Astyanax mexicanus: one gene and its partners. The protein of the gene in region 2 purifies or fractionates together with the protein of the main gene of each other region. This does not show direct contact. Links are inferred from orthologs where the notes say so. Each region holds a gene or a part of one and is shown on either strand. Other genes may lie near its edges.

Region 1 (8,410 bases), on a different chromosome or scaffold from region 2:
ACAGAGGGAATTATTTATATCAACATGCTTAATCAATGACTTCTGCTGATTAAATCCCTTTTATTTTTTTATTTCCCAATATATATCGCGTTGTCACGGGCATGCTGTATTTTCCTGTGTGTTTGTGTCTCTGTCAGGTGCCCCCTATATATAGATCCAGTCCGGGTCTCGTCTACTCTCCGGAATCAATTTCCATGGTTAACTTCCCCATTAGTTTTCCTCACTAGATCTTGTCTTCTTGCTGGGTTAATCAAATATTTTCTGCTTATGTTTTGACCCTGCTAACTTCTGACCTTCAATTTTGCTTAACCTTTGTTTATTCACTGTGTGTCCTGCTGGAAAATGAAATCCACATCTCCATAAAAGTTGTCAGCAGGGGGAAGCATGAAGTGCTGAAAGATTTTCCGGGAAAACACTGCACTGACTTTAGACTTGATATAACACAGTGGACCAACACCAGCAGATGACATGTCTCTCTAAACCATCACTGATCATCAGTAAATTTTACATTTCATTTGAAAATCAAGGGACCAGTGTCTGGAGGAAGAGTGGAGAGACACACAGTCCAAACTGCTCGAGGTCTAGTGTGAAGTTTCCACAATCAGTGATGGTTTAGAGAGACATGTCATCTCCTGGTGTTTTCCCCAGAAAATCACAACTTTTATAGAGATGTACATTTCATTTTCCAGCAGGACTTGGCACACATATAATATTATAATTTTCCAAGACACTGATTTTTGGGGTTTTATTTTATTAGCTGTAACTCTGTGTAATACATCTACATAGTATATTAGTTTCACAATTTTTAATTGAATTCATTAAATAAAGAGTTTCTTCAATGTTATTCTAATTTTGTTGAGATGCACTAGTATACATGAAGGTATGTATGTACAGTAATTAACACCAGTTGTAGGAACTGGCAGCCATTTTGTTTGGTTACTGGGTTTTGTCTTTGTTTATGTGTAGCAAGGGACAGCGTTTTAGTTTTTTATCTATATTTTTTGTAATAGACTAGGCTATCTGTATATATGCTAAACAATAAACTTTAAACATTTGTTTGGAGTCCCTTTTTTACCCCACTATAATACGTGTATTATACTGTTCTTAGATTTTTTTTATTTGTTGTGGCCTGAAATAGACCGGGTCTTATTGGTTTGTTCCAAAAGTCACCCTGAGCTACTAACCTTGCTCTGGTCGTGGCCACTGACTGCATCCAGGTCCAGAAACATGTCCAGATCACAGCCCAGCTTCCCAAAGCTGTTCACTGTGGACCCAAAAGGCCTGATAATGCAATCTGGGAAATATGCAGCAGCAATGTCTCTGAGCAGTGAGCAGACCAAGAAGCGCAGGCTGATGTTTTCTTCAGTCAGCTGACAGGCCTCGGTCAGACACTGCATCTGCTGATCTACCTGGGGACAAACCAAGAGACAGAAACGTGATCAGAACTGATGACAGAAATGTACTTTGAGCTGAGAGACAAAACAAGCTTCATTTGTTATCACCATCATCATTATTACAATTATTAAAATTAACTAGCCCTTAACTAGTCATTTCAGTAGAATAATGATAACTGCTGGTCTTAGATCAGAGTTTTGGAATGCTTTCACACCAATATAGTTTCATTCAGGATTAAAGACTTTTCAGTTTGACTGACAAAAGCAGGTATGAAAGGTGCTGCAGAATAAGTCTGCATGATTTGGGGCAAAATATCTAATTGCTATTTTTCCACAGAATATTGCGATTTAAATTGTGATTATTTTTAATCCATTAAACCCTAAACCTGTATTAGTGGTTCGCATACCTATCTATCAAATATAATTAAATTTAAAATAAATGAACTTCTTTCCACATAACATATTCCCAGGGTTCTCTGATTAAATGCAGTTATCAGTTTTATTTTTAAATTTCAAGGCACATTTAAATCGCGATTTCAATAAAAAAAAAAGATCAATCGTTCAGCCCTACTGCAGAACATGGTAACTAAACTATAGTCTAACCAAAAGCAGTGTAATGGATCAACAGAACCATGGTTTGGTCTGTGTGCAGTATGATAGGATTCTTTTTCTATGGTTTAGACTTTCAGACCAAAGTTGAGGCAGGCTATACTGAACAATTATATAAAAAAAAAAAAAAAAACACAGAAGAATAAAAAATAATTGGTGTTGTGCCAAAATGTGACTGTCCTTTGTGAGCATGTCACACAGCAGTCTGGAAACAAAAATACTACTTACGGAAATGCCTACAGTAGCTGTAGATTAACCCCTCTTTATAATATCGGAGAGTAAACTAAAAATCAAGGATAATATGTAATGCACGTACAGAAATGAGAGTCGAATTCTGGCAGGGATGCAGAATCCAGCACAACACCAGGTAAACCAATTTGCTGAACAGACAATGCTCTTCAAACCAGACAGTGCTCTACAAACCCAGCCAGTGTCTATTACAGGGACATGCAGCCTACATAGCTGATGATGACAGGACATATAGCCACATTTTTGCTGCACTCACTAAACTACAATGTGAGTCTAGCCAGACCAAATATATATATAATGTAACAAACACATGAAACTTGTTCCAGACTTTCAATCACAAACAGTTTAAAAAAAGTTTAGAAGGTAAATTAGGTAACTTACAGTCTCTTGTTTGGATAGTTGATTTATTAGCTTATCAAAGGAAGGGGGTGTCAGATTGTGGCACTTTATCGCGTTTGGTCCAGTTTGCTTCTTGCCCGTAGCAGTCGAACTTAACGTGAGCAGACGAGATTTAAAGGGCACGGAGGCTTCATGCTGCAGACTTGGTATAGTACAGTTTTCCTTTAGTGATGAGATACTGTCCCTGCTGGAGAACTCAACCACAGCATAGATTCCCTAGAAGATGACAGACATGAGTTACTTAAGATGAGGATTTTATAATGTAAATAATTATGTAATGAGCAGTAAAGTATGGTTTGTCACACAAATGACAAACATACTGCAGGTTTGAACAGACTCCAGCATTATACTTACATAGGTCTCATAAAAGAAATGGTTCCTGATGTCTCCATGTTTAGATATATAAGCTAAAAACTTCTTCTTGTTGGTATTTGGGGGACAGTTGATCAGGACAGACCTCTCAGCTTGATCATGTCTTTTCTCTTGGATCAAGGAAAATGATTCCTTAGCATCTGATACAGCTAAATATGACAAACAAAATGTAAAATAATCAAAAATGAATTAATGGGGATTTAAATGTTGCAGTATGACAAGATGTTAGATTAAGAAATAAAGGTCATTTAATCAGGAACTTTGAAAGTATTCTCAAGTGCAGTCGCAAAGACCATAAAAAATTGACATTATGATGAAACTGGCACTCATCAGGAGTGCCCCAGAAAAGAAAGCTTAAAAGATTCTTCTGTTGCACAGAATAAGTTCATTACAGTTACTAGCCTCAAAACACAAGTTAACAGCACCCAATATAAGAGCAAATACATTAAACTTTGCTTGTTTAAAAATAGTCTGGATTACTTTAGCATTTATTTACATTGCAGGAAAAAATACATAAACGTTGAATGAGAAGGTGTCTCCAAATTCTGGCTGGTAGGTTAATGTGTGTGTGGAGAAGATGCCATTGATTACAGCAGTAGCTTCCTTGGTCATTTTCATCTTTACAGACAATGACCACATAATCAAACTGACCACTTTATAACAGTGTCTACAGTCTACATATGAAGTGAGAGATGGAGTGAAGCATTATTAACACAGCTGTAATTTATTTAACTCTGTGTAGTTAGCTCATGCTGGGAGATGTGTCTGTCCCTCAGTGGGATGGTACTGGGTCTCGGAGCGCTGTAACATACCGGTCTGCTCGGTGTTACTGACGGCCTGAGCCGCTGTCGCAAAGCCGGTCCTGTGGAGCCTGGAGAGCCCGGTCTGAGCCTGCAACTCACAGCGCGGACAGAGTCTCAGCAGCCTGTCCGCTCCCCGCACATATGCCCTACACACGCTGAAGCAGGCCGCCATTGCTGCACTGTACAAGACGCATGCGCACTTCTCACACACGGGAGAATATACGGGAGCTGTGAAGGGACAAACAATCGCTTTATCGTTTCATAATATAAAAAGATAAAAATAAAAAAAATACTAAAAAAAAAAGAGTATCTGTAAAATATATTCAAATATAAAAATTACAATTAAATAACGATTTGAAAATAGACTACTTAAAATTATTTAAGATTCCTTTTCACATTAAAAAAATTCAATATCATCTAAAATATTTATTTAGCATTTTAGGTATTAAGTATTAGTTATTTATTTTTTGTACACTGTTGTCAACAACTAAACATTGGTATAAAAAAATAAGAAATAGGAAACTTAAAGACAAAACATTAATCACAAATGTTATTTACCAAATTCTGACTTGCAAAAATAACATAAGTTATACAGAAATTAACGTCTAACCCTTTAAAACTTTTATAGAAGTAAATGTCGTGTTTTATTCGACTTATAAGTGAAGTGTATTTACTTTTATTTAGGGTAGTTTGGTCCTGGTATTGAATAAAACAAATATTTACATAAAAAACAACACCATAGTTCCATCGGGTAAGACGTGCATATATATTTTATTTGGACTAGTTAAATATTTACATATTGGTATATATTTTTATGTTGTGAGAATATAGCTATATATATGTATATATATATATATATATATATATATATATATATATATATATATATATATATATGTTTTTTTTATCCAAGATGCCCTTCGTTATTATAGCTATATTCTCACAACATAAAAATATATACTTGTATATACATATATATATATATATATATATATACATATATATATATATATATATATATATATGTATATACATATATATATATATATACAAGTATATATTTTTATGTTGTGAGAATATAGCTATAATAACGAATGCGGCTATATATAGCTATAATAACGTAAAATGTGGCTACAATATTTGACGTGCAGAAACCTGCTAAAGGTATTAACACCGGTAAACTTTACCCTTTGACTGTTCCATAGAAGGAAATGGAGGAAGTGGAGAGATGGGCCATAGAAACCCAGTGAGGCTAAAAGAAAAACGAAAGCGCAGCTGACGCAGGAAGGAGTGATGAAAGCAGAGAGAGAGAGAGACCAAGAGAGAGACAGAGAGAGAGAGAGGCGGAGTCAAACTCAGCACAAACAACCTGATCTGCAGCACTGCTCACATTCAGTCACTTTTACTACTGCTCAGAGGATCACACACAGATACACTGCTCTGCTCACACACACTTCTATGTCGGTAAGTACATACTATTATCTTCCTAATATATATAAGTTATATGTTATAACTTAACTAATTTGTTGAAATACTATAGTCTGCAGGTGCTTTATATATTATTATATTAATAATATTAGGTTTGGCTGCAGTAATACTTGAGCATTTCATGTAATGTACATAGTACAAACCCTATAGCCAGCTACTTACTTAGCAAAGTGAAAGTACAGATAATAAAATATTACTCTATATTTCTTTAAAATATTACTCTAGAATACACTAGGTATATATCTTTTTTTTATATTAGCTTGACAGGTGGTCGGTATTGTACCTTAGACTGCAATGTATACAGTAAGTGCTGTCTGTAGTTTGTCATGGTGCACTTGTGTATATGTACAGCATATGTTGACAAATTATTTTTGTGTGTGTGTGTGTGTGTGTGTGTGTGTAGGCTTGCAATAATAACAAATATTTATAAAAAAAATAAATAATGAAATAATCTAAAATTATCCTTAGTAAGCAAACACAATGGGTAATTTTGAGGTCTGCAAAAACAAAGATAACATTAATATTGTGTCAGGCCTATGTGTATATGTATTTTTTAAAGTAGTTACTGATGCTAATGGTTTTTAACCATCCATCATTTGTCATTCTAAGTTTGAGAAATGGTAAAAATGCACCCTTATCTAAATTATAATTGGAATTTTGTGTTCTATTTGGTTGCATTTTGTTAAATTCTGAAAAAAAAATGCTGGGCTATAATTGTTTCATCTGTATTGTCTAGACATGGTTTTGATTTAGGTAAAGTGCCTCATATTTTTGGAATGTTATGGAAATCTTATATAGTAAATTGGGGCTTTAACAAAGTAATTTTTTAAAGTAAAGTGTTTTTTATTACTTTGGTATCTGGGAATCCCTGACTTGCATTTTTTGTGTATTTATCAAGTCCCTTATGAACTGAATCACATGTGTCGGTGCAGGGACTGCTTCAAACTGTGAAGGGCAGGGGGGGGGGGGTGGGTTCCCCAGACTGGAGCTGAAAACACCTTCTAATTTTTAACAGAGCTGAAGTGCATTATGGAGTCTTTTGTTTTATGGAGTCAGATGATTGTTTTCATTGTCTAAGCCGGTAACTTGTTTCAGTTATATGGCCTTTTCAGGTGGCAGGCCTCCAGCAGTATGTCTGCTGGTTTAAAGTCTTGTTTTGTTTCACTGGCTTGATGATTTGAAAATGAAGGGGCTGTTCTTCCTGAGCCTTCCCTTCCTCTTAAAAAAATCTCCCCTCATTTGCAAAGCAAACAGCCAAACAGGCTCAGCAGCAGCAACGTCAGGCTGCATGTTTAAACTATATATATATATATATATATATATATATATATATATATATATATATATATATATATATATATATATATATATATATATTAGTAAGTGCTTAAGGCCATTTTGGGCCTTTATTGGCAAGTAGTCTGATTAAAGCTCTCTGTTCCAGACTTCACAGTAGATCACTAATCCAAAATGGATTTCAAGAATGAAAATGCTGAGATAGAACTTCTTCTGACGCACATGAACATCGGAGACATCCTCCAAGCGGTGGAACATCTCTACTCCAACAGAGAAGAGGAGGAATCGGGCGTGCTGTTCGAGGAGTGCCTGTCGCAGGACGAGATGGATGAAAACGAGGAGAGTTCGGGCAGCTTGGTTTCTCATGTGCAGAATGGTGGGAAGGTCAGGTACGGGACTGTGTCTGATCTCCTGGCCTTCGTGAACATGATCTCCAACACACAAGTAGCCACACTTAAGGAACTAGGAGAAGAGTTTGGAGTTCTGCTGAACAAGGTGAGATAGTGTGTGATGTTGGGCTGTTACGATGGATTTATTTAAGCAAAATATGGAATAAAGTTTATGTTCTTAATTATGGTGCAGGGGTTGTTGAGCATTTTGCATGATGATAATGCATCATTAATATAAATTATATTACTGGCCTTTCTTACAGTAAAAAGGAAGGCCTAGGCATACACTTATGCATGTTTAAAATGCTGATTTTTTTATTTAATTGGATTGTTCTAGAGATGCACAAATTCAAAACATGTTTTTATTCCAATTATTCCTATTTTTTGCAAGAATTAAACACCCTCAATGTTTTTTGGTCTTGCTTTTCAAACAAAAGAGCAGTTGAAAATTATTTGGTCTTTTCTCAAACATATAGGGTGAAGTTTTTTTTGGCAATTGTGCTTAAATCATTTCAGTGGCCTAATATTTAGTGCATGCATTTTTTTAAAACCTTTTTTTTTTTTTACTTTTCATGCTTGTTACTGGTATTTTTTTTGGTACAAAAAATGCAATAAGACTCTTAAAAATAGCACCTGATTTTATATTGTCCTCCGTATTCTTCAGTCATGCACACAGTGTGTATTTCTGGTCAGACAGTGTCTTGGGGCAGCAGTGTGACCGAGGTTCTGCATGTTTCATTAGTGTTAGTCAGTTGATTTGTCTCATGGCCCGTGTCTCATGTGCACTTCCTGTTGTGCTCGTTCTACAGGCTGACATGGTCATTAAGGAGGGGCGCTATCGCATCGACCTGGACGTGCTCCTTTTTCCATGGAGACTGACCTACAAGGCTATGGGCTCTGGCCACATTCCTAAAGGCTCTTTTGGGAAAGTACACCTGGCACAGGATATCGAAACGCGCAAGCGAATGGCATGCAAGCGGGTGAGTCCAGGAATGTGAGAATCTGGCCAAATCTCTTCGGTTTCCCACTCATGCAGTGTGTGTTTGTTCCAGTCAAACAAATGACTCCCTTTCCCATCAGCCTATTACAGTGCATCCTGTTTGGCTACAGGCAGTTTGCAGAGTTATGACGGATTAGACAAGAACATGACTGAGAATAAGTGCATGTTCTTTCGTTTTTGCTTATAAAAGTTCTGACATGGGTGTAAATATGCTACAGACAACAAAAGGAGTGCACAGTGAGTGCACTGATAGAAATAATGCATTGGAATTTGAAGAAAACATTCAAAACTCCTTATTAACCCCTTATATTCTGTGACTTATCACATTCTAAGAATTACTAAGCACTGTGTGCAACTATGTGCAAAGCAACGCAAACTGTCTGAGTTTTTGCATATAAATTATAACAATGG
Region 2 (8,805 bases):
AGTGAGGTGTGTTCAGGTACATTTCTGGCATTTTTCTGTGTATTTTGATGATGGAAAATACAGGAGCTCCACTGACTGATTAAAACCCTGACAACAATCAATAATCAGAATTTTCTTATTGGTGGTCCCAGCACTCTTACACGTAATTGCGACTTTCACTCCTCAACAACATAGAACAGAATATAGAATAAAATAGCATTGCTGTTTCCTTAAATGAGCTGCTGGTGTATCTTCACAGCGTGAACGAGCAGCTCAGTAGCCTCTAAAAGTGCCACACTGTCAAGATTTGAAAGCGCCAAAGTCAGAGCTCACGTGGCTCTTAAAGAGAAAGACAACTGGCACACTGATTGGTTTATTTTTCACATTATGCCCAAAACCTAATCACACCCATGATTAATTAAGAGAGTTAGTTCATGCCTTTTGTGTGTTTCAAGCTGCACAAGACGTGTTTTTACTAAAATAAAGACAAAGAAAAAGACATATATATCTAAAATAGGGTCTTATATTTACTATTTAGTGATTAATCATCAGGTGTTTAAACACTTGTCCCGAATATTGGATTGGAGATTATTGGATTTTAATCACTTAGAAAACTGAATTATATATGCTAATTAATTATTTCTTCTTAAATCAAGGCGATTTAAAAAGAGTTTATCCTGCTTTTGTTGGAGTAACTGTCTCTCCTGTCCAAGAAAGACTTTCTATTAGATTTTAGGTCAATTGTTATTAGCTCTAGGGAGTCCTATTCTATTTGCAACGCTTTTTAAAGTTATTTAATTATTAATTTGTAACTTTTATTTACTGTAGTTGGGCAAAACATTGCAAAAGTTTCATTGACATTTTTTTATTTATGGCAACACCATGCAGTCAAAGGGTTTAAATATGATCCTTAAAAATTCTATCTATTTTGGAGCCATATTCTATTTTTATGGAATTAAAAAGTCCATGTAATGTGTAAAACTCAAAGAATGTACAGTCTGTTCTGTATAAACAAGTAGTCAGTTTAATCATACCATCAGTTCAGAGACATCTGTTAAGCATTTAGTCTCAGGGCTACAAAAAAAAACTAAGGGAAAATTTGGTATGACTTCAGTTCAGAACCAAAGTCAGTGTTGTCTGATCCTATTATCTCCCTTTATTCTTCCCTTTGATAGTTTCACCTCTGCTGACATCTTTTATGGAGATGCAGATTTCATTTTCCAGCAGGACTTGGCACACTGCCCACACTGCCCAATACCAAGTACCAATTGATCTTATATAATATTATATATATATTTTTTATTTATTTATTTTTTTTATTAGATGGAAGCCATAATCATCAACAATAAAATAAATAAACTCTTAAAATATTTCACTTTGTGTTTAAAACATCTATATAATATGAGTTTCACAATTTTAACTGAATTGTAAAAAATAAAGTAGCCTTTCAATGGTATTCTATTTTTTTATATGCACTAATATGTGTATCTTAAAAAATGTAATATGTAGATTAATACCTGGATTTAGAACAACTATTACAGCTAATCAACAATTAGAATTATAGATAAAGTCTGCAAGAAGGTTTATCCTCAAGAACATTACAGATTTTTTTACAATCTATCTATCTATCTATCTATCTATCTGTCTGTCTGTCTGTCTGTCTGTCTGTCTGTCTGTCTGTCTGTCTGTCTGTCTGTCTGACTTTTATTAAATAAAAATGAATACTGAAAAGGGTTAATAACATACAAATTGAGACATCTATTTTTTTTTTACTTATTTTTCAGACTTTTCCATTTTTAATCTTTAACCAAAATCTGATGTTATAAACTTTTGGAAAAAAAAAAAGATATTTAATTAGACCTCAAATTCAGAGGGGAAGAAATATAAGAAATATTTAATGTGGTAATTCATACATTTTAATGTTTTTTTCATGTTTTGAACCATTCCCATATATTTTAAGATTAAAAACAATTCTCATTCATAAATTGTAGATACATTAATTCAAAGCTATCTACTGAATGTTTCTTATTTGTAAGTTTCGAAACATAAATTTGAATTTATGATTTTTATATTTGAAAATTGTATGTATTTTATGTTTTTTTTTTTTACAGAAATGTTTAATTCAAGTTTCATAAAAATCATAAAAAAGCATTGCAAACATTAAAACATATGAATTACCCCAGTAAATATTCTGTTTAGAATTCAGGTAATTCAAATTTAGAAAATGTAATTCTTAACTTGTCAGATATCAGATTTTAAGCTCCCAAATTAAAAATAAAACCTCTTTATTAAATCAATATTTTCTTCTTTTCTGCACTTTTTCTCTAAAAAAATAAGAGAGCACTTAAAAATTATGAATTTCTTTGGTTTTACCAAATTAAAAAACTCTGGAATATAATCAAGAGGAAGATGGATGATCACAAGCCATCAAACCAAACTGAACTGCTTAAATTTTTGAACCAGGAGTAAAGCAGCATGAAGTTATCCAAAAGTAGTGTGTAAGACTGGTGGAGGAGAACATGATGCCAAGATGCATGAAAACTGTGATTAAAAAACAGGATTATTCCACCAAATATTGATTTCTGAACTCTTAAAACTTTATGAATATGAACTTGTTTGTTTTCTTTGCATTATTTGAGGTCTGAAAGCTCTGCATCTTTTTTGTTATTTCAGCCATTTCTCATTTTCTGCAAATAAATGCTCTAAATGACAATATTTTTATTTGTAATTTGGGAGAAATATTGTCTGTAGTTTATAGAATAAAACAACAATGTTAATTTTACTCAAATATAAACCTATAAATAGCAAAATCAGAGAAACTGATTCAGAAACTGAAGTGCTCTCTTTTTTTCAGAGCTATATATATATATATATATATATATATATATTTTTTTTTGTATTATGTTTCAACTGACTATATTTTACTTCTCAGAATTTATTAAGCTTCCAGATTTACTAGAAGCAGCTAAGCACTGGTTAAAAGAACGAGGTGTACAGGCTTTGTCATGGGTAACAACACCTACTTACCACCCACCAACATACATAACAGATACGTAACACTCATCACCATTCTGCATATTCATGTTCACACTAAAATAGACCCAGTTTCCCAAAACACATGAGTTCAGATTATCATAACTGGCACAGAGAGAGAGAGAGAGAGATGCTGACTCAACCATTTAAAAGTCATCTTTTTACGCTAAGATACTTTCAGGAAATACAGCAGAAGCTGATCAGTGTGATTTCCTATGATGTCATTTTAGTAACAGGGGAGAAAAGTAGAGACTGAGTCAACTGATGAACGTGAGGCGGTCAGGTTATATCTGGTTGGCTAGGCCCTACACTGACAAAAATGATGCGTAAAATTTACTTAAAAAAAGTTTTGCAACTTTCTGCAAATTTACTTTATTTAAGTACTCAGTTTTAAGACTTAAATGTTACATAGAGTAAATAAGTGAACTGAACTTATGAATTATGAATGAGCAGGTGCCCCAATACTCCCGTCTGTGGAAGCAACAGTGGTTCTTCTATTGCATCGTTTTTTTTTTAAAGCGCTTACGCAATCATTGTTTTCGAGCTAAAGGAACAAACCCACTCATTTTGGTTCATAACGGAGCAAAATATGTTCCTTCGAGAACTTTCAATTGTCTCGAAGAACACTGTCATAAAAGTGTTGTAAACAAAATGCCCCTAAAAACCACAGGCCGAGGCTTTAAACTGCTGCATTTTTCCTCTTTTCCACGGATCAACATGCTGTTTTGGTGTTGAGGGGGGTTTCGAGGGGTTTCAATAGTTAAAGCGATGGTTTCATTTTAACATGCTTTACATTAACGTACCAAAAGAATTGCTATTGGTGTGTCCCATGACTTTTGGCATGACCCCTGGAAGCTACAAAACTCAGCACTGACATGTGGTGGGATATGTGGGCAGGGTCTCCCGCATTAAATATGGATGAGATTTCTGCCAGAGTCACTTCTCTGTTAGTCGTTTTCTGTGGAAATACACATTATATGGTCAGTTTACTGTACATAGTGCTATCCCATGACTTTTGGCATGTCAGTGTATTTCAAATATTTTGTAGAAATTTAATCCAAAAGGTTGTGATGTTAACATTAATTTTTTAAGGGGTGGACAGTGAATTCGCATTTAAATAGCTTGATTATTTTATGAAAAAAGAGCTAAATTAATCATTTAAAAGCCTTTTAATAGTAAAAAAATAAAATATTCAAAACGTTAAGAAAATACCATTTAAAACATGGTTTTAATGGCTATATATTAAAAGAGTAAGTAACTAAGTAAACTAAGTACAAATACTTTGTTACCTTATTTAAGTGCAAATGTTGGTTATCTATACTTTACTGGAGTATTTTTTTTTTTTTTTCACATTTTCACACATTTATCTGAACTTTCTACTCCTTACATTTAAAACAAACAAAAAAAGCCTCTTTATTCTCCTATTTCATTTCAGCTCGATTTTATTCCGGCTTCTCCTCGTTCAATAAAACCTCTATCCAGATAAATCTCTCCATCCAGATAGAGTGAATCTGATTGTGATTGGATGTAGAGAAGTATAAACATATACCATTCCGACTCTCTATTGGTTTATACTGTGATCCATCAGACCTGCATCACAACCCCCCCCCCCACACACACACACACACACACTCCAGCAAGAACATAGCAGACGTATGTAGTCTAGTATGAAGATGATCCATGCAGAGTCTCAAGAGAACTCCAGTTTTACAAACTCCAGTCCAACTAAGCCTTTTTAATATATTTACATTCTACTAAAATACATACAATGGCCATATACTAGTGCATGTCATCTGCTGGTGTTGATCCACTGTGTTTTATTATCAAGTCTAAAGTCAGTGCAGTTTTGTTTTCCCGTAAAATCTAACAGCACTTCATGCTTCACTCTGCTACTGACAACTTTTATGGAGATGCAGATTTCATTTTCCAGCAGGATTTATTATATAATATTCAAATTTTCTGCAGCTGAAACACTAGGGAGCCTAGTGCATCCCAAATTGATCAACATTAACATTTTAATAGAACATTATAGTAATTATGTCTTTTAGAAAAATCCATAAGAATTTTTGGGGGCATTTGTTCTTAATGGCTTTATTTTTGCCCTTGTTTCACATTATTTTTTTTTTACTTCAAATATGTTTGAAAGCAGTACTTTTACACTACTTTTACTTAAAAGTTAATACTTCTACAAAATAAAAAAAGTCTTTTTTTTTTTACATCCGTAGTATATATACCTCTATATAGCCTAAAGAGTAATGAATATAGAATACTTTTCACACCTTTAACTGATTAACTGAGTGACTAACTCAGTGAATAAGAAGAGGAAGAGAGTTGAGGGTTGGGGTGGTGTGGTGGGGGGTGGTGTTGTATATGTGTGTGTGTGTGTGTTCGCGCATGCGCACTGCTCAGCTCGGCTTTCGCTCTTTCTCGGTTTCAGAACGTCTGGATACAAAGTAACTGAGAAAACCCGCCTGAAAAGAGTGAGGAACAGCTGAAGAACAGCTGAGGAACAGCTGAACAGCCCGGGACTGTTCCCTGGAGGGGTTAGATGAATGTTTGGGAGTGCCAAAAAATATAGAACACATAAAAAAAAACAAAAAAAAAAAACACAGAGCAGCGCGAGATGGGCACGGGGAAGTCCCGCAGGAAATCCCCGCGTGGCGCACATCATTTCCTCCAAACTGACAGCTCTGACCTTCTGTCTCACAGACCTGCCTGTCTGCCTGACTGAGAGCGAGCGAGAGAGAGACCTCCGGCTCGAGCGCACCGCGCGCAAAGACCCCCAGAGCGAGGGGCACCTTCTCTTCCACCAGACCCTCAAACTCCAGGACCCTCCAGACCTATACACACACCACACACACATACACACACACACAACCATGGATCTCCACACCAAGAAGCAGGAGGATCACCCCAAACTGCGCAGCTGCTCCACCATCAACACCTTCTACCACGAGACCCAGCAGGAACTGGCCAGACTGGGCCAGACCATCCTCTCCAAAGACGGGCAGATCGCCGAGCTGAAGGCCAGGCTGGCCCGGCACGAGAGGACCACCGTGGGCCCCGTGGAGGGGGAGGACCTGGTGGGACCCTCCAGATCTCTGGTGGGCAGCCTGTGTAAAGAAATCCACAAATTAAAGCAGAAGCTGAAGGACCAGGAGCTGGACGCAGCGCAGAATCTGGATTCCAGCAAACGAGTGAGTTCAGTCTGCTGATCTGCTGATCTGTGGACAGTTTTTTTTACTGGATTATAGATTTAGTGGTGATATAATATAATGGGTTATAATGGGTTGTAAAGTTGTAAAAACTTTTTTAAATATATATTTATATATATTTTATATTTTATATATATATAATAATAGATTATTCTTGTTATGACATAATAAGAACAGTGAAGATAACAGTAGAGATGGGCAATATGGCAGAAAAGTATCAGGTATCACGATAATGTTTCACAATTCAGTTAAATTGTATTGTGTGTGTGTATATATATATATATATATATATATATATACATATTATAAAAGTGCAAAGGACTCTGGACACAGCGCAGAAACTGGATTCCAGTAAAAGAGTGAGTCCGGTCTGCTGATCTGTGGACAGTTTCTACTGGATTATAGATTTAGTGGTAATATAATATAATGGGTTAAAAGTTGTAAAAAAATGTTAATATATATTTATATATTTTTTATATATTTGTATATATAATAATAGACTATTCTTGTTATGACATATTAAGAACAGTGTAGAGAACAGTAGAGATGGGCAATATGGCAGAAAAGTATCAAGTATCACGATAATGTATCACAATTCAGTTAAATTGTATATATATATATATATATATATATATATATATATATATATATATATATAATAAAAGTGCGAAGGACTCTAGACGTAGCACAGAAACTGGATTCCAGCAAAAGAGTGCTGATCTGTGGACAGTTTCTTCTGGATTATAGATGTACTGGCGAATTAATTTTTACAGAAAATAGGCTTTTATATATATATATAAGTTATATATATATATATAAGTTAACAAAAAATGTACTTTTGTACACACAAAGAAAATAGCCTTTTATAATAGATTATTCCTGTTATAACATAATAAAAATGGTCTAAAACAAAAGTTGTATTGTGTAGTGTAAGTAGGGATGGGCAATATGGCAGAAAAGTATCAAGTATCGCTTCAACAATAGTACACACGATAATGTATCACGATTCAGGTTAATTTTATTTTACGAAATTTTATGATGAATAATTAATAATTACAATTAATATAAAATAAACATGTGAAAATGAAAAAATGCTGATCACGATGAGTAAATTGGTAAATTAAAGCAGAAGCTGAAAGACGTAGAGCTGGATTATAGATTTAGCGGTGATATAATAGGATAAAAGTTGTAAAATCACACAGATTTTACATCTGTGTGTGTGTGTGTTTGTGTGTGTGTGTGAATCAAAGTGTAATCACAATGAGTAAATTGGTAAAAAGATGGAAACAATGCAAGTCCAGTCTGCTGATCTGTAAATAACATTATAGATTAAGTGGTGATATAATGGGTTATACGTTGCAAAACTAAACAGAAGTTACAGAAAATTGCCTTTTATAATAGATTATTCTTGTTTTTTACATTACATTACATTTGGCAGACGCTTTTGTCCAAAGCGACTTACAATAGTCAAGTACAATGTAAAATAAGTTTAAAGGTAAAAACAACTTTGGATAGGGATAAAAGGAGGTCAAAGGGGAATAATAGGATAGAGAAGTGAAGGAGGGGAAGAAGGAAATGGGGTTAGAAGTAGTTAGTGTTTTAGAGGTGTTAAGAGAGTAAGTGCTCTTTGAAGAGCTCTGTCTTCAGGAGTCTCTTAAAGATAGCGAGAGATTCTCCTGATCTGGTAGTAGAAGGTAGTTAGTTAGAGGTGTTAGGAGAGTTAGTGCTCTTTGAAGAGCTCTGTCTTCAGGAGTTTATTAAAGATAGTGAGAGATTCTCCTGATCTGGTAGTGGAAGGTAGTTAGTTAGAGGTGTTAGGAGAGTAAGTGCTCTTTGAAGAGCTCTGTCTTCAGGAGTTTCTTAAAGATAGTGAGAGATTCTCCTGATCTGGTAGTAGAAGGTAGTTTGTTCCACCATTGGGGAACTCTGTATGAGAACAGTCTGGATTGCTTTGTGTGAATGTTTGTTTGGCAAAGCGAGGCGACGTTCATTGGAGGAGCGCAGCGGCCGGGAGGTAGCGTAAGCCTTCAGGAGCGAGTGCAGGTAGGAAGGAGCCTGTTCTGACATCACCTTGTAGGCGATTGTTTTAACATAGTAAGAACAGTTTAGAACAAAAATCTGAGAAAAAACGTTTAAAAGCTTCATAAAAGGTTTAATATTTTAAAACTGTATGCATAAGAAGTATAAAGGACTCGGCGCTGGATGCAGCGCAAAAACTGTTTCCAGCCAAAAGTGAGTCCAGTCTGCTGATCTACTGATCTGTTGATTATTTATTCAATATTATTAATATAATGGTGAAATCAAAAGAACTTTACAGAAAAAAGGCTTTTTATAATAAATTATGCTTGTTATAACATAATAAGAACAGTGTAAATAGGGTTAGGCAACATGACAGAAAATGATCAATTATCGCTTTAATAGTACACCCTGAAATATTGGCCAAAAATCTAAAAAAACTAAGAAAAAAAATCAGTTTACAGGAGTTTTTACAGAAAATAAATCCTTAAATACACAAAGAAATCAGTGTATATATTTATTATGGATGATTCTTTTTTTTAACATAATAGGAACAGCCTAG
Region 3 (7,941 bases), about 35 Mb from region 2:
AAAGCAGAACAGGCCTTTGTTTGAAGGAAAATAGTTTTGGGAGGACTGAGAAATTTTCCACATGACTAGACACATTTTATGAAACGTTACAATATCCATGACACCAAAGTGTCACTCTGTGTAAAAACAGAACTATACCTCCAATAAAACAATGTGTTTTACATTTCACTATCCTAAGCTTTTGACATTTAAAAAAACAGTATTAGCTTTGTATAACTGGATTGACTATGGAAATTTCAAACTTGACAGGAGAGCTTTTGTCAGTAATGTTTATATGTCGTAACTAGGGATCTTAAATGTATCAAATGTAAAATTAATTAAGTATCCTGATGCAGGTCACACATCATAAATTATTTCTTCATGTATGGGGATATTATATGTTATAAATCAATTATAATAACACATTGGCACAACTGGTGAAAAAAATGATATGAAACACAGGGAGGTGATTGTCAGAAATACCCAGCTCCTCACTCACAACCACATCCTTATCAGCATGGATCGCCATTTCAGTTGCAGCTTCAGGACATGGACACAAAATAAAATGAGTCAGCTGCACAGACACTGGAACGGATTGTCCTGCTCTCCCTCACCCCTGTCCCAGTGTCACCTGATACTATGAATTCTAGTAATCAGCAGCCAGTGGTATCCATTCTGAGAAGTCTTTTATTCAAAGCAGCACATTCAGTTCCAACACTTTCACATCCGCAAACGACTTCAAAACACAAAATTCCCAGACTAGATTAATTCAGAGGAAGCTGCACAGAGTCCAAATATCTATATTAGTAACATATGTACAATAAACCATATAAATTAACTGTTTTAGATGCTAGCTACAAGAGGAAAAGTCAGCAAATAAAATGTCTGGATTCAACAGCTCAACTCTGAAACGATTCGAAGTCACCACAATACCACCGTCACCCCAATCTTGGAAACACACTAAGGAAAAAGTTCTAGTCATGACAAAAGGTGATGAACAATACATTTTGGCCGACGTCTCCTTTCAACTTTCTGTAAAACACAAGCTTTCATGACACTTCTGTTCAGGTGGGGCTATTGTAACATAAGTGACTGTAAAGTGAAGCAAAAAGGGCAAGTACACAGATGCTTCCTCTTGTTAAATTACTCATCCTAAGCAAGCAGAATAGCTTGACCTCAAGTTAACAGTAGAAATGTTTAACTCTCTTAGAGCTTACAGTTAACAGCGCAATAGTGGGGCCACTTAAAATCAAATCACACCAAAAAGGGGTGCTACAGGATTTTCCCTCTATGTCTAAAATGCCTGTGCATCAGGCATTTAAAACAAACACAATATACATCCACAACTGACTATTTGATCTTGTCATAATTCATACACAAACCTTTAGCAAGTCTATCTTATACTGAACAGAGTTCACCACAGACAAATTTGTATGTGCAGTGGGCCAGTTAGGCCTAGAGGGCCTTAAATGGGCACAATTCGTTAATGAAGCAAAAAGGGAACTGTGAATAGCCAACAGGATCTGCACTACATGAGAAAACTTTTATGTTAATGCTATACATGATTACAAACAAATCCTTATTAGATGATGGCTAACTAAAAAACTTTGTATTCAGCTGTAAGCTTGCTCTACAGACATACCCTGTGTTAAAGGCAAACCAGTTTACCACTCTAAAGCCAAGTATATCCATAATTTTCAGTCTGCAGGACTCTCCAATCTGATTTGTACAAAATCCCCACAAAAAAGCAGCTACCAAAAGAGATGCTCAGGCTGGCCAAATCTCATTTCTATGTGACAACCTAAAAGCAAGACTTTACCGTTCGTCCGGAGCGGCACCAGCTTCTTGACCTCTCGGCACCAGTTGAGCCTCTTCTCCTGCTCCAGGGAGATCTGCATGGCCCGGTCCAAGATGGCTGCCTGGATGACTTCGCAGAAGGCCTGCGGGAACTGGCTCATGCGGATCATCTCCAGAGTGTAGCGGTGCATGCCCCGCAGGTGATGGAGCAGGCCGCCGCTGGAGGAGGGCTTCACGACATCGTTGGGGACACGTTCGCGTATCTTTACAGCCTTTAGAAGGTTGCTGACAAACAGGAACTTGGGCAGGAAGTTCTGGCCCTGGGACATTGTGTTCTTGGGAGAGGAGCGGGACACCAAATTATTTCTGTTGGGGGGAAAAGAACAGCAATAATGACATTACTCAACATGTACAATACTCAACCAATTACTCAACCAATACACTCTGACAATGTAGGCTGGAGTAAATATGTGGGTTAGATATAACAGGTGGGCCCATGGAGCCACCTGACGTTGGACACTACCAAACCCTTATTGTGAAACACTTCCTCGAGGTCATGATGACAGAGATGGACAAAGGGTAATTTTTGGTCTATTACACTACAGTCTGCGGACGGCAGACACACACACACACACGATTCTCATCTTCTGTCAGTGAAAGTGCCTGAGGATGCTAAGCTAACCTACAAGGGCATCATTTAGGCTCTCCTGCGCTCAGTCACAGGCTGAGGTTGTCTGAGGACAACTTATACAAATACCCTGCCTCTCTCACACACACACACACAACTCATGCCCACCGTCTCTGCCCGCAGTAAAACGCTGCTCAGAGGAGAATGGCTGAGCGGACCGGGGGTGAGGCGGCGGCGGGGTGTTTTGCTCGGCTGCAGCACAACAATAGGAGCCGCTGCGTCTCGCCGCTCCGCTCGGGGTAAAGCAGCGGCGACGGCGAGCTGGCGCTCCAATTACGTAATTCTGTCCCTTACAGACAATAAACCCCCGCCACACACACTCCACAACCCGCCACACACACTCCACTACCCGCCACACACACTCCACAACCCGCCACACACACTCCACTACCCGCCACACACACTCCACTACCTGCCACACACTCCTCATTCACACTGGCGAGGCCGACAGCGGGCCGCCGCTGCGCGGAGTGTTTAATAAGCGGCTGTGAGGAGCGTCTTCACAAACAATGGCTGTCAGACCCGGGCATTCAGAATCACACCGTCCATCCGCTCTCACTCACACACCGAGTCACCGCGGCCCGCTCCGAACCGACTCCGTCTCATTTGGCTCAGTGTGGAGTCAACACGGATAATCGCGGGGCGGACCGGGGCCGCGCGCCTCTTACCTGCTCAATATGTCGGTATCCAGCAGCGGAAGCCCGAGAGAAAGAGCTGCGACTCCGCGCCTCCTCGGTCCCCCAGTCCGGAGCGCTAAACCCCGCTAACCGCGCTGCTGCTGCTCCATGGCGCTTCACACCGCGGGCTGATCCGCACCACCAGCCTCCTCACAATAACACGCTCTCTCTCACACAGCGGAGCGGAGCGGGGCTTAACCAGCCGAAAAGCCTTCGAGTTGATGTCAACAAGGAAAAGCCAGCGGGGATTTCCAAGGAGGTACTTTCCACTTTCACAACCGCGCGCAGCCAATTACCTCCCCAGGCCCGCGCGGACGCTCGCGGAGCGCGCTGACGTCGCCCTCGAAACGGTGACGCAGTTACGCTGCTAATGTTTGCCACACCCATCGGCGGAGGTCTGGCCGGGAGTATCTGTCTGCCCGCTGTCGGGCCTTTAAATCTTTCTATTGTCTTAAAAAGCTCCAGCCTTTACCACCCATGAACCCACCAGCCCCGCTGCCTGCGCCCCTCCGAGCCTCCCCCGCAGCGGCGCAGGGCTGCTGTTAGCCGCGGAGCGCGCCTGTTTCAGGCCTTTCAGCGGGTTAGTGCTGTCTGAGACTGAGGCCCGGCCAGCAGAGGGCGCTCAGACCCGCAGCCAGAGCACCCTCACCACCCTCACTAGATAACACCTCAATACCACCACCAACTACAATTCAGTTACGTCTATATAACTGAGTTAAACAGCTTTAGGTTTATTCTGGGTCAAAAAAGGAAAATACCTACACCACATGAACAACATATTGGGACAGCTGCTCATTATTTTTCTTCCAAAATTAGGGATATTAAAAAGGGTTTGTCCCCACTTTATACTAGACTATAAAGCATTGCTGTGAGGATTTGATGCACTCAGCACCAAAAGCATCAATATATTGGAAGAACCCTCATACGTCTAACCCATGCCTGGCATCACGTTCAGGCTTACATTTATCTGCTCCAAAAAGATTCTATTATCAGTTCTTCTCTACATGGACTAAGCAGAAACCAAGTAATAGTGGCAAAATGTAGTTAATGATAAAAACACGTCTCTAAAAATATAAAAACATAGAATTTAGTAATTTTGCTTTTTACTCATTTTTACCCTACTGAGACAAACTTATTTGCATATCACTCTGACCTGAGCTAAGAGGCTTTTGGCATTGTTTTGGTAAATGGATAGTAATATATTGTGTAACATTTTTAGCTCTTTTAGATCCTATCATCTTATAAATCTTATGTGTAACTGGGAAAATAGCGTCTGTATTGTTTACAACACTGTCTGATGTTGTTGAAGTAAGCAGGACCCAAAAAACTATGTAATGTTATGTAACCTGAGAATCTTGTACTATTACTTTGCTGTGTCAGCTCACATGATTGTTTCTCTTTCAGTGTTAAGTCCCAAAATGCATGTATAAAGTGTGTTGCTGGGTGGTGGCTTAAAGTACAAATGCCACAACTGTACGGGGAGCCCAGAAGCAAGAAATACCAGTTTAACTGCAGCCATTCTCTCGTTCATATGCCAACTGTACAGATAGCAGTACTGTAAAAAACTGATGACAATCTTTTAAGTGTTGCAGTACAGGGTGTCTTCTCAAAAAAGTATATTTGTATTCTAAAATTTGAAAGAATAAAACAAAATAAGTGGGTGACCAACAAATCCATGTGTGGAGCCACCGTGTCCAGCACCAGGATCAACTGTTTGTTGTAAGGCATCACACATTCATAAGGCCTGGTGTCACGGGATGGATTATTTGAGACCTCTGTATCTGTACCTCAATGAATAGGACCATGTCATTCTAAATTACTAACCTTTTTTGGTATTGGTAACTTTTATCTTCCTTCTGAATAACTTTACAATCCCACACTTTCTTCTGGGTGCAAAAGTGTATTTACCAATTTTGCTCAGCCTACAGCAGGAAAGCTCCGCCCATACTCACATTTATGTTTTAGAAATATTTCAGTTCAAACAGCTTTTTGATTGAGGCACGGTAAGAGACGGGCACTTTGAACAGTATTAGGATGACATCTAAAACACAAATTTTAACGTATCCTTTTTGTTTAAAATTGTCGTAAAAATAAATGACGCACATTTAGAAATGGACCTTAAGGAAAGTATTTGTAATATAGCAGTTATTATATTATAACTATCTAGTAATCTAGTAAGTAATTCTTTTACTTAATGATGATATAGCTGATATAGCTTACAAAGATCATCTGCAGCATCATCTACCCACACCTTTAATAGGTGTGTATACTGTATATATTAATGAAGGATTGCAAGGAAATGAACTAAAATGTATAGATGAATAAATGTAGCTCTAGTTCTATTTTGAGCCATGTATAGTAAAGTAATGTGTTCATCTAGTGTAGTTATGCTTTTATTGTGGTTTAGGAAGCATTGTATTTACATTGTTTCTAGTAAAATTATATGTTGAAGTAGTCTAAACTATAATAACCATCTAATTTAAATGATATTTGCTTAAATAATTTGCATGTTGCATAGGTATAGGAGTTTCCATTAGTCTATAATAGAAGTATTGTGTTAAACTAGTGTAGTTTGATTATATAGTGGTATGGATATAATAGTTTGATATACACATAAACGTATAATTCCAGTTATTTATCATTGTGTAGTTAAAAGTACACTACATTCACTGTCCATCTTATCAGCTTCTCTGATCATATATAATTGTATAATTACAGACTGTAGTCCTGTATTCATGTCTCTGTACACTGTATTATTATTCTTCTTTCACCCTGTTCTTCAGTGTTGCTGTACAGTTTGTGTTTGTGATCCTCTAGTCCTCCATCAGGACACTATTGGTTGGATATTTCTGGTTGGTGGAATATTCTCAGTCTAGCAGTGACATGGAGGTGTTTAAAAACTCCAGCAGCACTACTGTATCTGATCCATTCGTACCAACACAACACACACTAACACCTCATAGATCACCACCATACTGATCAGTGTCAATGTAGCCGCTCTATGGTGGTCTATTCTGTAGGGTCTCGAGCATTAAAGAACAGAGTGAAATAAGGAATGTACCGGTAATTATAAATTATAAATTGTAAGTATAAAACATTTTAGTTGAAAACCTGCATTCATGCCGGCCTGTTGCAGATAAGGATTGACACAAGTACTGCACAAAATCCAAACAAACACGACTATACTGTTTATTTACTGTACGCTGGTCAGTGTTCTGAAATTTCAGACATCGTCCATGATATGATCAATAAAGCATGCTGTGACATATTTGATCATAACATTAAAATATTGTCACATTTTCCACATATAATAATCACCTGCTCATACCAGTGCTTTACCAGAACATGTACTGTACTATCTTCCCTCATTCAGGCTTGTGCTATACCCACGAATAGGTATTAAGACTGTCACACAAACACATTTGGTTGAATCATCATGTTTTCAGTAAATGAACAGACAGGTTTATACTGTTCTCAGTATTTTCTGGCTAAGATTCAGAAATATCAGCTCTTGTACTATGAATTAATTATTCTAAATTGTCACACAACCTGTTTCAATTTGTCTGTTTTTCTTTGTAAAGAATTTGTTCAGTAATCCCAATATACGTACCCAGTTTCAGTCTGCTCACACACAGTGCAGGGACATCTACGAAGCCTTCACTGTGTCCATGCCTGCAGCCTATTCCTTTTTTAAGTTGCTTCTTCTAATACTTTGTTCAGATTTTTACTGCCGTATGGCCTTGTATAATGTGCCACACGCTGCTTAGAGTGGATGTGAACATACATATGATTCACATCAATCAACCGTCCACTTTTTTTCTCACTCAGTTTAGTCAAGGGGAACTTCCCCGGGGTTATTCTCAGACAGAGATGAAAAGAAAGAAAAAAAACTTTATGAAGTGCAGAAAAGTTTTTCCACAGCCTGGCCTACTCTGCGCTGCTGTACATTCTGTTTATAACCAGGTCTAAAATAAAGATCAACCAGTTTCACACTGATACATCTGGTGTGTCTATAATAATTAATAATAATTCTATAATAACACAAGTTACTGTTTTATGATAGGCACAGAGATTATTAAGCTTATTTGTGTACATTCTGTCCAGGCCAGTGTTCAGTAGATGTATTTATTATATGGTTCACATGACTTTGATCATTATAAATGCTGTGACTCAGAACTATGCAGTGCCGGGGGCTTCCAGTTGGGAAACACTGGCCTAATAAAACTGTTTCATACTAGTTAAAAAATCACCTGCTTCTATGGCGGCCGCAAACGTGAACTCAGACACCATCTAGTGGACATTTTTACAAGCTCAAGAGAATGGGTAAGAAGTGCAATGCAGTAACTTACAGCACTGAGTTTATACCTGACTGATGAAAAAGATGAGGACTAGCAGTCCTGAGGAGGCTGAGGGTGTCCTACACTGGTTCTGAAATCATCACACTGTATATGTTTTGTGTTTGAGTGTAAATTGTTTAAACCTGTAAGTGTTGTGTGACAGAAATGTAAACCATGCCCTGACTCATTTTATCTACTTGTGCTTTTTTATTTCTGAATACCTGAGCCTATTTCAGTAATGATACATTTTGAGTTTCGCATAAGTATATAATTTTAGCTCAGTTTTAACTGACACTGTAACCAAAAATAGACACTCTTTACTTTTTTTGCCCCATAACTCCCTCCGATTAGTTCTTCTGTCCAATTACACAATAATGTAATATCATGAGATATTATGGTATATCCACAGTGTGATAATATATATATATATATATATATATATATATATATATATATATATATA
Region 4 (8,067 bases), on a different chromosome or scaffold from region 2:
TGCAGAGATTTCCTTGCATCCTTTTTTAGAAGACAGGGCAAAAGACAGAATCAGTATTGGATGGTACATATATTTCTCTATCAGTTTTTATCAGTGTACTTGGTTTTTAATGGTTGTTTGTTTTATATACAGCTCTGGAAAAAAAAGAGACCACTTAAAAATTATGAGTTTCTTTGATTTTACCAAATTGAAAACCTCTGCAATATAACCAAGAGGAAGATGGATGATCATAAGCCATCAAACCAAGCTAAACTGCTTGATTTTTTGCACCAGGAGTAGCATAAAGTTATCCAAAAGCAGTGTGTAAGACTGGTGGAGGAGAATATGCCAAGATGCATGAAAACTGTGATTAAAAACTAAAGTTATTTCACCAAATATTGATTTCTGAAATCTTCAAATTTTTATGAATACAATGTTTTCTTTGCATCATTTGAGGTCTGAAACCTCTGCATCTTTTTTGTCATTTCAGCCATTTATCATTTTCAGCAAATAAATGCTCTAAATGACAATATTTCTATTTGGAATTTGGGAGAAATGTAGTCCGTAGTTTATAGAATAAAACAACAATGTTCATTTTTCTCAAACATATACCTATACATAGCGAAATTAGAGAAACTGATTTATAAAATGAAGTGGTCTCTTATTTTTTTTCCAAAGCTGTGTATGTTTACTTAATTAATATAGAACAGTGATATTTATCTTTCTATGCATAGCAAATTGGCTACTCTGGTAGTATGATGCAAGTTATATTACATTATTTGAGGTTACATTAAATAATTTACATTTTTCATATTGTTCCAACAACAAAGACAATTTCATTTAAATGTAACATACTCATACACCCAGCTTTACAACTTGGGGAAGCAGAACCTTTCAACCAGTATGTGAACCCAGTGAGCTTAAATCCCCCCATTCTTAGCCCCCCATGCTTGATTTGCCTGTGCCTCACTGTAAATCCCTGAGCTGTGTTCTTATTTATGCTTGAATAAGAATTTCCAGGAAAAAAAAACAGGCACACACAGACATGCATGCATGCTTTCAGACTGACAGAGCGATACGAACACACACATTCACAAACACACATTCACCAGCCACATTTCATGCTGAGAGAGCCCTACACTGTGGAATGCTAAGAATGTGAACCCTTCTATCACTCCTACTTCCTCTGTAAGAGGTAAGAGCACAGTCAGATGGACTGACAAATCCATAAAATCTATTGATCTCGTCCTTGAATGTCTGCATAAAATAAGTTGATTCATGAGCTGTAAAGAAAGCAAAAACGTGAATTTGCCATGTCATGTTATACAATGGCAGTGGCTAAATTGAATGTCTGAACATCCTGTTGACATTTTTTTTATCAATTTTACAAACTAGAAATTTCCTGTAGCTCAATAATCTTGCTCAACAATGTAATGTAAACAGATTTTCAGTTTATTTGCTCTTCTCTAGATCCAGAAGGACAGAGGTGAGAAGATAATTAAAGCAGGCCTCTACAAATCACACTTAACATGAAACCAGTCAGCCACTGCAATCTGCGAACCACAAACAATAGCAACACTGCCATCTTATGGCAAAAGCTGTACAGTTTTAGCAGCATGCCTGCAGCAGTATTTCCTTACCACTGTGAGACTGTGGTAAGGAAATTGATTCTAACATGACATTAACCATTTAACATTTACTATTATTTGCTGTTAGATAAAATAGAGGTTAATATTCATTTAATATGCTGTTATATATATCAACACAGTATATTCGTTTATATTCCACACAAATACTGTGTAAAAATATTTTTCTAAATTAATTCTGAATGAACACATTTGTACAAATATAGAGGAATATTAGCCTTCACTTTAATGTACTTTTTGTACATTTTATATGTTTTCTCTCAGCGCTGTAATTATTCTGTTAAACAGTTAATTTTTTTTTTAATGACATGACCTGTTTATTTTTAAGAGCCTGAAGGCACTTGCTGCATGTTCAGCAATTAATAATATTAATTTCAAGTTAAGTCATGAGGCTTTTATTGTCATTGCATTTGAGTACAGGTACACAGTGTAATGCAATTACGTTCCATCAGAGCAACATGGAACATTAATCATTAATCATTAACCAATATGATAAATTAATATTAATCAAATTGTCTCCATATTAAGCTGAGGTAAACCTTAAGCTGTCCATCCTGTCATAAAAAAAAACATCAAGACAATTTTAATAATTTTTGAAAAATCAAAATGTATCTTTTGAAACAGAAGATCAAATTCAAAATGCTTGCAACCCTAAGTTAACCATGTTTTCATTAAATTATTAAAATTCTGTTCAAATTGCCCACCCTGTCATGCAGCTTGCCATGACTGGAAATAACAAGGGAAAATACAATGTTATTACACTGAGAAATAATTAATAATAATTCCTGTCTAAAGTCTTATAAATATAATAAATAGTGAAAATAAGTTGCCAAAATGCACAGAAATCGGATAATAGCCCATAGTCAAGATTACAAAAAAAAAAAAAAATACTGAACCTCTTGCTGTTCTTGCTCTGTTATTGTGGTGATAAGACTTACCACAATATTTGCAGTCCCTGAAAGTGTTGTGTGTGAGTCTGACTATAGAGTGAGTATGTGTTTGTGCGACCTCATCTTCAACTATTCAGCAGTGGGCGTCAACAGACTGCAGTACAGACCTGCTGCAGACACAGAACTAAGTAAAGGTCAATGCTGCTGTCATATATGCTCTGTCATACAAACTTAAAAAGGGGAAATAACAGCTTACAACAGTACCAGGCATTAAACCTGATTTTCTTTAGATATGTTTATTAACTTCAGTTTAATTTAAGTGTAGTAGTTAAATGAGTTGAAAGCTTCTTAAAGGTCTTGGGTCCAGCAGACATGAATTTTAGGCCTATAGCCTAGCATTTTTTAGGTAAACTATACTTCTTGCTTGAAGGCAATTAAAAAAAATCAAAGGACAGTTAATTGCATGTGCCTAAAAGTATACAGACACACATTTGTGAAAGTTGTTTAACTAAAATCACTATAAGTTCAATTGTTTGTGAATATGTGTCATTTTTGGATTTGAACTGATAACCAATGTTCTTACACTGTACCTTAAAATGCACCCATTGCATCACAAAGCTTTAATGATTATCATAGAAAAGTATTAACTTAGAAAGAATAGGACATTCTTTAGGAACCACATATGAGCCTAAAACAAAAAGGGCAGCTGAATTAATGTGTGCAAAATTAAACAGACGCCTAAAAATGCTGCATTTTATTTAAATGTAATCAAGGGTTTGAGCTACTGTTGCAATATATATTAAAGCATTCGTGTTTAGCATAAGAATGTTGCTTTGCACTACTTCATTTAGCTGTTTTCAGATGGTCATCAGATGGTGATTAAAAAGCTGGTCATCCAGGCAAAAAAATATTCTATGCTGAAAAGAGTAGTTATTGGTAGTGAATGCATTTGTTTCTGGTCATGTTTTGTAATGCTGGTCAGCTTTGTGATGCTCATGCTAGTCATCCAGCATAAGCAAGCTTGGATATCTGGCATGATCAGGTGGATCATGCTTGCACACCAGCTTAACCATCATACCTAAAAGATACCCTATCCTGCGCTGAAGGGATGTAAAAAAAAAATGCTGTTTTTTTTCTCCTACAGCTTGGCCAAAAAGAGGTCGCTGTGGCATTGTTTCAATAAGCTTCTGCAATTTTACAAGATTTATTTCAATCCAGTGTTGCATTAATTTTTCACCAAGATATTGCAGCATTTATGATGGTAGAGTCTGACCATTGTTCAAAGCCTTCTCCAGCACATCTCAAAGATTCTGTTGGTTAAGGTCTGGACTCTGTGGGGGGGGGGTTAGGGTTTGGACTCTGTGGGGGGGTTAAGGTCTGGATTGTGGTCTGGAATGTGGTGAACAATCCACGTGTGAAAGTGATGTCTTTATTGACTTATTGACTTCTGAACTCTTGAATCTTTATAATTATGAACTGAAAGCTCTGCATCTTTTTTGTAATGTCAGCCATTTGTCATATTCTGCTAATAAATGCTCTAAATGACAATATTTTTATTTGGAATCTGGAAGAAGTGTTGTCCGTAGTTTTTTTTTTCCAGAGCTGTAGCTGCAATATAAAAGTGAGAGTGTGCCAGTTAGGTATGATGAGGGGATTAAAGAGGTAATGACAGTACCAGTACAAAACAGAACCTGTATAAACAAATGAAGGTATAACGAGGTATAATATATAGGTTTAAAACTTAAGGATGGTAAAGTGCATACAGTTCTTTAATAGTTATTTTAATGCAGAAAAGACTAATTTTGGAAATGCACTGATTGATAAGGGTGTCTGTAGATATTTGGACATGCTGTGTATTATTTTCAGTATTATATTGTCTGCGGCCTAACTGACATTTGCAGAAGAGGCAGCAGGCTGAAGTTAGACAAGTAGGCTGCACACACACACACACACACACACACACACACACACACACACACACACACACACACACACACACACACACACACACACACACACACACACACACACACATTCAGCACGAGGCGCTACAGCGCCGCTGATTGGCTGCGCGGCGGCAGGCGGAAGCTGCAGGGCAGTGGGGATTCCCCGAGGGAAGTTCCCAGCTCATTGTAAAACATGTCAAACGTCCATTTGTGCGAAGCACTCCATTTCCTCCCTTCTCTCTTAATGTGAAAATAAAGTTATAGAGTAGAGCGGCGGCCGGAGAGCGCGGCGGGGTCAGAGCGCTAGATTAATGTAGGTCTTTTGACCACTTTCCGACAGAAGGTAAGACTCCATTCACAGGCGGAGAGTTATAGTTCTGGCTAACCGGGCTAAGCGGCTACTAGGCTAGGTTAACTGTGTGTGTTCAGCGGTTGTTAACAACGCAGCTGAGATACTGATACGGGGGTTTAGGGTCGGTGGCGGGTTTGTCTTCGAGCTTCGAGCTAGTTAAACAGCTAATGTCGGCAGCAGAGGGGCTGGTTTACTCTTTATCTATCTATCTTCTCCCTGACGGAGCGTCCGCTCGCTGTAGTGTTTAGAAAGTTTTACTGAGCCGCCCTCATTAACTAACGTTAACTGCATTACCCGGTGTTCTGTCGAGTTGTGCTACCTTGTCAAACCGTGCTACCCTAGTGTATATTTAACTGTAAAATTCTTAAGAAGCATAATAATGGAGCATATTAGAGATGTTGGCAGTAGAAGTCCCAGTAGATGTAGCGTTAGTATATTTAGATAGCATAAACCACTGTATCATGGCAAGCAAAAAAGTAACGTTATTTTCTATAATAATTATTGTGTATTATTATTATTATTAATTTCAATTTGACTTTTTGTGCAATAACAATGAGTAAAGGGTCTTTATTGTACAAAAAAATCGAAAAACATATTTATTATTTAAAAAAAAACATGAGAAGTAATGAAAAAGTGTAGATCAGCGCATGCGCAGTGCCTTTAGGAAGCACTTATAGATCGGTAGCATAACTCGACAGAACACCTCGGAGCTCTGAGCTGCGTCCTCTCATACTGCTGCCAGCGCTAACTTCCCATATTTTATCCTAGCTAAGATAGCTTCAGCTAGTTAACTAACCTAAAAAACAGGCTCAAAAAATTGCCCACACACCTATAGGAGTTATTTGAAATCTGCTAGCTTATCTAGTTTCATAATGTAGAAAACTTAAGCTTCTCTTCATAAAATATGTTTAATAATATTTAAAATACGTTTACGTTGATAGCTTTTCTCAGTTCCTATAAAGAACACAATTTTTATAAGTATTTTAAGCTAAATTCATTTATAAAAAAGAAAAGGTTTATTTGAAATTAGAATTTGTTTATTTAAAATGAAATTGTTTCACCTACTTAACTGACTAGGTTAGCTAGTATATATATAAAAAAAAAACGAAACCTAGCTCATGACATGTTCAAAAGGTTTATTCATATAAATGTGACCTTTTCTTTTTCTACTAAATTAAATATAGAACAATGCTTATTTATATAAAGGTGACATCTTCTTATTTCTGCTTTTAAACTTAAAGAAATTAAAAATAGAACAGTGTTTTTTGTTGTGTAATACAAATTGTGAATTTGATATATTAATTAATTAAAACTATATTTTTCTGTTTTTTTTCTGGTTAGTTTGATGTTTGTTTCTAAAATTAGACACTTCGTAGTCTGGTCTGTAGAAATTTCTGCTTTGTTTGCCTTGTCATTTCAAATTATATATATATATATATATATATATATATATATATATATATATATATATATATATATATATATATATATATATAAGCCACTAAATAAAGTGACTTTGTGTAAACAGCAGTTTAAATAGGTTTACTAGGTTTAACTACCTAACAAAAGTAATGTTTACATCAGTTCAAACCTCACACACACCTCATATCAAGTTATGCCATGTTCTGCTTAGAAAACTAAATTAGACTACATTTATATTGTTACATATATATTTTTTTTATTTAAAAAAAATATATATATCAAACATACCTAGATATAGCCTACTAAATGTGTTGCCTTAAGTAAAATTCTTTAGACCAAGTTTATAGAGTAACTGGTTCACATGTATGAAAATGAACATGCTTTATCACTTAATAAAGTATCTTAGTGTTTCTGTTCGGCCTTTGTTTCTGGACATTTAAACTGTATAATGTGGTCAGTAGATGTTTGTTCTCAGTTTGCATGCAGGCTCTGCTGTAAAACTGGTTTGTCAGTAAATAAAAGGGAGCAAGGTTTATTTAACTCAAACAAATACTTTGAACTGATGTACTGATTTAAAGCAAAGTGAAACATATATAGGTTATATGAACAGCAGTATTTTTTACGCCAGTTTAGAACCCCAAACACTAGTCTTGTTCCTTGATATCATTAAATCATAACTTATGTAGAACTCTTTAAGTTTCTATGATAAGTTTCTAACCTGAAAAGAAACAATAAAAATACATAACAATTGACAAGAGCTATGATCTACACTAATTGGTCTACACTTAGCCCTAAAAACTTATTTAAAATCTGTTTTATGTGGTATAGAACAATTTTTCTATATTTATTAATCAAATCAGTACTCTGCTTTAAACAATAGTTAATTCTAAGCATTATTGTACCTAGTTAAATTACCTTTTACCAGATTAAATAAGCTTGGGACCAAATTGTTTACCCCATTTTCAACAAAAAAAAAAAACAAGTATCCCAGTGTATGCCTGACCAGAAATCACACAACTTCCGGACAGAGAAGTGACATATTTCTTGTAAACAAACTACTTACCATTCTGTACCTCCGATTTAGACAGATCACAAACCTGTACAAGCTGCAGTGCTTTCTGCTCTCATAAAAAAAAAAAAAAATTAAAATTATTTTTTTCATGTGCCATTTACTGTTTATCATGTTTGTTAATGTGTGTTTTTTATGGCCTCAGGACTCATGACAGCTCCATCCGTGATGTTACTGAAGGCATGGATCGAAAAGGCATGGACCCAAACATTAGTGATAAGCTGAACAAGGCCTATGAAGCATATCGCAATGCCTCGATTGAGAAAGACAATGCCAAAAAGGAACTGCAGCAGAAGGTTCAGTACAAACTACAATATGCATTGTTTCTCCTTTTTTTTAGTCGTTGTGTATTGTACATTGTGTAGTCAGCTTTAAAACCAGGACCTCTGAAAATCAGGACCTCTGTTGTGTGTGTTGTTATAGAAGGTGGAGTTTGAAGTGTATACTCAACAACTGGAGAGGAAGATACAAGACCAAGAGCAGCTGATTTCAGAGCTGAAAGCGCAGTTGAGTTCAGCAATAAAGCATGGGACAGGTTAGTCAGAAACTGATGTGTTTAAAAAAAAATATATATATATATATATATATATAAACAACAACTGTATAAATATAAGTGAATTACAATACTATGAAGTACATTTTCCACGCTTTTTAAGATTTAGGCTTAATCCAACTTTTTTAATAGCCAGTTAAATTAAGCCATTATTTTGTATTAGTCCCACATTATCAGTTAGTTTGATTGCTTTTTGCATTTATTGCATTT

The links.
Region 1: the proteins of tnip2 (region 2) and map3k8 purify together in Homo sapiens (affinity purification with mass spectrometry; 3 studies listed by BioGRID and IntAct, with this or other methods). This does not show direct contact. The link is inferred for Astyanax mexicanus from reciprocal best matches to the Homo sapiens genes TNIP2 and MAP3K8.
Region 3: the proteins of tnip2 (region 2) and tnfaip3 purify together in Homo sapiens (affinity purification with western blotting; 5 studies listed by BioGRID and IntAct, with this or other methods). This does not show direct contact. The link is inferred for Astyanax mexicanus from reciprocal best matches to the Homo sapiens genes TNIP2 and TNFAIP3.
Region 4: the proteins of tnip2 (region 2) and tank purify together in Homo sapiens (affinity purification with mass spectrometry; 3 studies listed by BioGRID and IntAct, with this or other methods). This does not show direct contact. The link is inferred for Astyanax mexicanus from reciprocal best matches to the Homo sapiens genes TNIP2 and TANK.

The regions. Positions count from the first base shown.
Region 1 is NC_064422.1:35,267,199-35,275,608, reverse strand, and holds the start of map3k8 (mitogen-activated protein kinase kinase kinase 8), read left to right. Parts: upstream 1-5,185; 5' UTR 5,186-5,290; intron 5,291-6,758; 5' UTR 6,759-6,784; coding exon 6,785-7,105; intron 7,106-7,808; coding exon 7,809-7,979; intron 7,980-8,410. Other genes in the region: poly(A) RNA polymerase, mitochondrial, read right to left, coding at 1,185-1,409, 2,634-2,867, 3,006-3,172, 3,836-3,998.
Region 2 is NC_064414.1:51,113,655-51,122,459, reverse strand, and holds the start of tnip2 (TNFAIP3-interacting protein 2), read left to right. Parts: upstream 1-5,417; 5' UTR 5,418-5,564; coding exon 5,565-6,209; intron 6,210-8,805. UniProt on the Homo sapiens protein: Inhibits NF-kappa-B activation by blocking the interaction of RIPK1 with its downstream effector NEMO/IKBKG.
Region 3 is NC_064414.1:16,578,800-16,586,740, reverse strand, and holds the start of tnfaip3 (tumor necrosis factor alpha-induced protein 3), read right to left. Parts: upstream 3,268-7,941; 5' UTR 3,133-3,267; intron 2,143-3,132; 5' UTR 2,106-2,142; coding exon 1,799-2,105; intron 1-1,798. UniProt on the Homo sapiens protein: Ubiquitin-editing enzyme that contains both ubiquitin ligase and deubiquitinase activities.
Region 4 is NC_064418.1:34,055,045-34,063,111, forward strand, and holds the start of tank (TRAF family member-associated NF-kappa-B activator), read left to right. Parts: upstream 1-4,617; 5' UTR 4,618-4,804; intron 4,805-7,449; 5' UTR 7,450-7,486; coding exon 7,487-7,600; intron 7,601-7,727; coding exon 7,728-7,839; intron 7,840-8,067.